Solanum lycopersicum: one gene and its partner. The protein of the gene in region 1 binds, or shares a complex with, the protein of each later gene. Links are inferred from orthologs where the notes say so. Each region holds a gene or a part of one and is shown on either strand. Other genes may lie near its edges.

Region 1 (3,729 bases):
TTTTTCCTCTAGTTCATAAATTCTAAAATATTACAGTTGTTTGTACCTGAGAAGTGTTGTAAAAACCTTCTTTATGTCTATATTAATTTGATGTTACTGGAAATTGAGTACCTTTTAAGATCATTTTGTCATATATTAAACACTAAAATAAATTTCAGTCTTCTTTTATTTGTGTAATTTTTTTGATTTATTTTTTTTTCCTTCCAATTTTGCGGGCTTGATTTTTAACATAACAAATGGCATTACTTTTGTTCTTATTTTACTCTTCTTACCACGTATTTGTAATCTTACTTCTACGTTTTAAAGATAGAATAATTATTTTTTAAGAGCCTCAAATTAAATAAAACATATCAAAAATAGTACTAGCACTATGAAAATTAAATATAATGTATATGTAATTGCAAAAAGTAGATGGGAGGCTTTACATAACTAACCTCGAGTCAAAATTAAACAATGATGGCTTCAAGAGTAAATGACCTATTATATAATTTAGAATATTTGTTAATCTCTCCATTTCAAAAAGGATGGTCTAGCTTGCCTTGAAACAGAATTTAAGAAGAAAAAAAAATTTTTTAATCTTGTGATTCTAAATTAAAGTTATGTCAAATGTACCAAAATATCCTTTAATCTTGTGGTCTTAAACATGTCACGTGGAAAGTTCAAGTTAAAATATTATGAAAAAAGGAAATGAGTTTTTTGTTTTGAAACAGACTAAAAAAGGAAATAGAGACGTTCTTTTTGAAACGAAGGGAGTATTATGTTACGAGAATATGTAAATTTATACTATTTCTAATACAATTATTTTTAAAAAAATAAATAAAGGATTTCGGGGTAAAATAGTCATTTGGCTACCACTGCAGATAGGATAGGCTTCAACAGATAAAATTGAGAGAGAGACAGAGAATACCCAAAAAAAACCTCTCACTCTCTAACAATGGCAACCCTTTCCCTGTGTTCTACATCTTCCCCCTCAACAGCACTTTCCAAGAACCAAACTTTTCTTAACACCCTTTCTGTTCCCAAAGCAAATTCCAATGTTACTTTTCTATCTCACTCATTTTCCTCTCTCAATCTCCGTTTCTCCAAGCCCAATTCTTTATCCTCTTTTGTACCCAAATACTCAGAATCTGAAGCTCCAGTAGCTGAAGTTGAAGCTGACCAAGAAGAGCCTGTTGTGGAAGCCACTAGCTTGGAACCAAAACGGGAAGAAATCTTTGCTGTTGTTATGGTGACGACTCACTTCCATTCATGTTTAAATTTGTGTAGACATATCTGTTTGTTTTCAATTTCGAAATCAATGTGAGGGTACAATTTAGATTTTTATTGAAAAAATTATGAGGTCCCAAATGAAAATTTGAAAATTCAGCGGAAAATGTTTCAGTTGTCTGTTACCTTGAATTTTTTTCTCGAAGGAAATAGGAAATTGATCTATTCCCTCTAAGGGAATGTTACTTTGTTGTATAGAGATCACAACTTTGGTTCAAGATTGTCATGTGCTCAACCTTTGATATCACAAAAGCAGTCGGAATTTTAATAAGGGGAATTCAAAATTACTCAGACCTATTATTGAAGCAATTTCTCGAATTAACCTTTGCCACTAGAACGAAAACTTCCTTTATGTCAAACGGATTAGAAGTTCCAAAAATTTGTTTTCATGAAGAATGTTCCACCACACCTCACTCACTTAGTTCATATTTCGTGTTTGCTAGTACTGTTGATACATTACTGCTTCCTATGGTGTATGTGGTGAAAATAGGGAGTGTTACAATGAAATTCTTTCGTTCTGTTATTTATACGTCAATGCCATTCTGTGATGCTTAGGTTTAGCATTCTGTTTTAGGGTGTCTTAAAGGAACAATACACATGTCTATATGTTTGTGTCATATTGACTTGGCAGTGGTGGTGGCTATTGGAAATGTTAAAATAGTCCGTGCTAAATAAGCTGAACTGAACTTTTTATATGCTTAGTATTCTCCAGTAGAGTTGGCTGATGTTAACAGAAAACTATAATTATTATGAAGACATGACGAAGATTTAGTACTTGGTATATCCTTACCTGTGTTCTGGACACCATCCAATTTCAAAAATCTCAGTCTATGTTCTCTTTGGTTTTAGTTTAATTTCGTTTTACAAGTGGGCCATCTATTTTCGGTAGGCGTTTCCTCTAGTTAAGTTGCAAAGGGGTTCATATGGCAGATTAGAAGTAATATAACTAATAAATAACTGATAACTATCATTTAGTTCTAACTTTAGGTGTTATACAGTTGTCAGAGGGAATACATATCTACAAGTCCATGCAAACATTTAAGCAAAAGTCTAGTAATTGTTGAAATTTGATTTTGAGGTTGCCATATTCTACACTTTCATCTTTTATTTAATGTGAATTGTGAACTATTGTATTTAACCGGAGAAAACATTCATGTTTACTACTTATTTGATGAATATTTTTTCTTTTCCATGTGGAAAATACTCACTCTTGCGAGGAGATTATAGCTGCTATTTCAATCTGATCATTATTCCTGCTGCTAACAATTTTCAAGTCCTCTAGGTGTCAAATTTTGTGCTTTATTTTGTTCTTTTTTCTTTTTTTCAGATGAATGTGACACTACCCTAATATAACTCTATGGGGCTTGTCTTTAATACGTTAAGCTGTTTGTTCATTTTTGCTCTTTCGCTTTCATAGGTTGGATCTCGGCAATATATTGTTTTTCCTGGGCGGTATATCTACACCCAGAGGCTTAAAGGTGCAAATGTCAATGACAAAGTGAGCATTTTTGGTCTTAATTTACAATTGATTTCCCAAAATCTGGTTACCTCTCTGTGGCTTTGGCTTTAGTTACGTGAGTTGTTTTTCTTTTTCCTTGTCTCGCTATCTCATATCAACATTGTGGTGTCCAATCAAAAAGAACTTGCTTGCAGCAATTTCTCAATTATGTCAAAAGGCATCAATTTCAACCAATAGTGACATTTGCTTGTCCTATTTCTATTATCTTTAATACATTGTCTTCACCAGTTATTTTCCACGGAAGCTAACACTTGATATAAGGGTTATATGTGTATGTCAAGGTTTTCTTGCCATATTGGCAATACTCTTATTTCAAAATTTCCACAATGAGGATCATTGTTGAAGCATCTATACTTGTTGCTTCTGCAGATTATCCTAAACAAGGTGTTACTTGTGGGAACAAAAACAAGTACTTGGGTTGGAAAACCAGTGGTGCCAAATGCAACAGTCCACGCTGTTGTTGAAGAGCAGGTCAGACATCATTCTTCCTCTGCTGTAGTTTCCACTGAGTATATCTTGTTTACTTGACATATCTGTTGGCTCATTATTACATTTCCATGCAGTTGAAAGATAAGAAGGTTATCGTCTTCAAGTATAAGAAGAAAAAGAACTACAGAAGGAATATTGGTCACAGACAGGTATCAAAGAACTGTTTTTAGTGATATCTGAATAACTATAAAGTAGTTTGAACTTTTTTAACCTATCTGTTTGCCCTTAAAGCAAGGCGCACCGTAGTCTATCATAGTTTTAACTATGTCTGCAAATAATTACCATGCAAACATGAAAACTGTCTAAATCAGTGAGCTTACAGCCATGTATGAGACATGCCCCTTAAAATGATATTTGTGCAGAATATCATAACTTGCCCTTGCTTATGCCAAACTAATTCGGTTTCTGTAATCATGCAGCCAATTACTCGGATAAGAATAATGGGCATTACTGGT
Region 2 (3,757 bases), on another chromosome or scaffold:
TGAATTACTTAATAAACCAGATGAATCAGAGAACATCAGTTTTCAAGTTCATGCAAATTCATATTACAGGATCAACCTTATGAAGGACAATATACTTTAACAGTCTTCAATGAACATATAGTAGTAATTAGTTCGCATACTACTATTTACATGCTATGGCAGAAAGATTGGAAAATGGTACCTCTGTATCTGTGCTTTTATAATATCAACGAGATCCTGAGCAGTGACACTGCAAGAGAGATGACGTCAAAAGGTAGATCAAATATTCACCAAGTTGCTCATCACAATTTAGTATTTCACTGACCTTCCAAATATTTGCTTTCCTTTCCCACCCTTACGCTTCACCTTGAAGGCTCCAATAGTTTCAAAAATTCGAGCAAGCTGTTGTGCCTCATCTTTCACCTGAAATCAAAAACGTTTAACTAAAACCACATTCATTATGAAACTCTTTTAGACTTTTAGTGACTTGAAAATAAAAAAAAAATGTATATATTTTTCAACTTTCAATAGATTAGATTAATCAGAATAATCTAATTACCCGTTGTTTTTCAGCCTCAATTTTCTCGTCTTCCATCTTCATTTCCCTGAGTAAAAAGTACATAATGTTATAAAATAAAAATGCATCCATGAAGTTAGTTAATTCTCACTGATGGCGAAGCACGCTAATAGCTATCAAAAATATCAAACCAAAATTGCTTCTAACAACCATCTCTAACGAAGCCTTCACCTATTTGTTTTGTTCTTTAGTATGAAATAGCAAATCCCTTATATATAAGACTTTTACAGGACTATCACACCATTAATGTTAACAGCTGGTTAGGCCTATTGCTCACCCAAAAGCTAAAGACAAAGTCACTAAGTAGTAGGAAATCTAAAGTTTTATATCCAACCATTATCCATCTTATGCATTGTGGGACATTGTATTGAAGACGAATCCGTTATCAATAAATTATATTTGGTTAAAAGAAGCGAATTTACTTAAACCTATAATCATTAATCATACGAAGCACTATTTCAGGGAACAAAAGCCATACAGAGTTTGTGTACTGACCAAGAGTTATAACACCAAAGCCATACAGAGTTTCTGCTCAAGGAGTATCGAAAATGATTATTCTGGTACGACCTTTGCACGAAGATATGTATAATCCATGGGTCCGTCCACTTTTCAGCTAGTTACAATTAGTTTAAAGGATCCCATAGACTAAGTATACCTATTTTATCTCCATTCGACATAGGTCCATTGGTTTAGATAAAAGATAAAACAAAACAAGCAATAGTAATAACATACTTCCACTCATCAACAGCCAAGCAAAGTATTGTGTGTGGCATTTTAAATAGTTGAACCAAAGAATCCTGACATTAATTATGAGGCATGAAAATAAGATAACGAACAGAAGAACCAAAGTCTTGAGTTCAATAATAAGGTTAAGTCGATAATTTAACTAGTCATAATGCAGAAACAGACACTTGAACTCGGCATCAACTAGCAAGAAAACACTCAAACTCGGCATCAACTAGCAAGAAAACACTCCAACTTTGAGTATGCACATCTACACCTCAACTCATCTCCACTGTGTCAGTTGAACACTCCAACTTACAAAATGATCATCTAGGCACCAACCAAATATATTTGCCACATCAACATCAGGTGTCCATGACACACTGTGGATTATGCCGTTAAACTATACAGGGTGATTGGAAATGTGAATATTCAACACTTAAAATCAACTAACAGTCTCCAAAAGGAATACTTAAAAATCCATCCAACACAAGCAGAACCAATTTTAACAAACATTAAGGGGGTGTTTTGTAGCTAGTAAAAAAGCAACTTACTCATATATTAACTTAATGTATAAGTAATACAATGTTTGGCAGTTAGTTAGAGAATAAGTTATTCATGTATAAAATCAACACAAAGTTTAATTTGTAATTCAAAAACCTACCTAACTAATATATAATGTATTATCTTATGCAGGTTACAAGACGAAATAACTGATACCTGCGTAACTCTACCAAGCTACCAAACAACCGCGAACTCCACAAAAGTACAGCTAATGAAAGAAGAACCTAAAAGGCAATGAAATCAAATGGCAAAAATCTAGTTCAAAGTAGAGTTAAACGAGTTACTTGATAAGTGCAGCTGTCACAATTTGAGCTTTGCCCAATGGTAGCAAATAATTCCTAAAGAATCCAGCTTTAACATCCAAAAGGTCTCCCTTTTTACCCAACTGTGAAATATCCTCTTTCAGTATTATCTGTTCCATCAAAACAAAAAATACCCAATTCAGCTATTAACCATAAATGGACAAAAAATGAGATTTTGACAATTATAAATCCAACCCATTATCACATTTTCAAGAATTAGCTCACCTTTCGAACTTTCTTGGCTTTTTTCTGAGCAACAATTGTTAAAATTGAAGTTCTTTCTGAAAATTTCACTGTTTCGGAAAATGGGTTTTTGGTTAAGCTGTAATTTTGGAGACAAGAAGATGAACCCCATGACGCCATAGCTAAGTCTTCCTTCTTCTTTTCTTCACTTTTTGCTCCGTTTTTCTGTATTTTTTACAGTTTATAGCGTTATCTTATCTGTAATGGCGAACTGAAGAAGATAATGGATGTCTTAATGGGCCAACAAAACTTATTGGGACAATTCATGTAAAGCCCATTTCTTAGTCCAATTATAATATTTTAGGCTATTTGGGCGAAGGACAGAAATCACATACTTTTAAGGCAAAATTACCATTTGTTTTTTACAAGTATATAATTACAAAAATTTCTCAAATGATACAATAATATATTATTGTATCATTTGATACATTAATCTGATGTGTGAGATACATTAATCATTAAGTACGATACATTACATTTATACATAATACACTAATCTGATGTACACTTTATACAAGATACATTAATCTGATGCGCGATATACATTAATCTGATGCGTGATATATATTAATTTGATGTGCGAGATACATTAATTTGATGTGCTGATACGTTAATTTGATGTGTGAAAATGAGGGATTTTGGAGATTTGTAAAACTAATAGGGGATAATAATAGTAAGAGAACTTAAAAGTGAGATTTCTATCATTTACCCTTACTGAAATACACGTCTTATATTTTCCTTATTTTCATATATCCCCTTTTATTTCTAAAGACCTCTAAAATCCATTATTTCTTTAATGTATCCGAGCTACATATTAATGTATCCGAGCTAGTATTTAATGTATCCGAGTTACATATTATGTATGCGATTTATTTTATAATGTACCCGATCTAGTTTTTAATGTATCTGAACTACATATTATGCATCCGATTTATGCTATAATGCATCTAAGATACTCTTTAATGTATTCGAGTTACATATAAATGTATCCGATTTGTGTTACTTTTTAAGGGATTAATGAAATTACAAACTAAAGAGGGATGAATTATAATTTCATATTAAAATTATGTGATTTCTAAAATTTATCCAAAAAAAACAGCCCAACATAATACTCCATCCGTCTCAATTCATGTGGTGTTGCTTGACTAAGTAGTGGACATTGGACACGAAGTTTAAAAAATATGAAAATACTTTGTATATCTCAAAACTATCCTTAGAAAGAACACAACTTTGTAGACGTTTTGTCGAATAAGTGGGATCCAGTCATCTACAAAATATTGACAGTGTCATTAACTATTTATCAAATAAAGAAATGTATCGTTCTTTTAGAATTGACTAAAAAAAAGTTTGTCATCTAAATCCGGAGGGA

The links.
Region 2: large ribosomal subunit protein bL21c (region 1) and large ribosomal subunit protein bL9c share a complex: the UniProt entries of both Arabidopsis thaliana proteins name them as parts of the 50S ribosomal subunit. The link is inferred for Solanum lycopersicum from reciprocal best matches to the Arabidopsis thaliana genes RPL21C and RPL9.

The regions. Positions count from the first base shown.
Region 1 is NC_090805.1:43,262,080-43,265,808, forward strand, and holds the start of large ribosomal subunit protein bL21c, read left to right. Parts: upstream 1-811; 5' UTR 812-934; coding exon 935-1,228; intron 1,229-2,683; coding exon 2,684-2,764; intron 2,765-3,154; coding exon 3,155-3,256; intron 3,257-3,348; coding exon 3,349-3,423; intron 3,424-3,693; coding exon 3,694-3,729. UniProt on the Arabidopsis thaliana protein: This protein binds to 23S ribosomal RNA in the presence of protein L20.
Region 2 is NC_090810.1:57,591,677-57,595,433, forward strand, and holds the start of large ribosomal subunit protein bL9c, read right to left. Parts: upstream 2,654-3,757; 5' UTR 2,509-2,653; coding exon 2,371-2,508; intron 2,256-2,370; coding exon 2,128-2,255; intron 585-2,127; coding exon 539-584; intron 403-538; coding exon 305-402; intron 230-304; coding exon 182-229; intron 1-181. UniProt on the Arabidopsis thaliana protein: Binds to the 23S rRNA.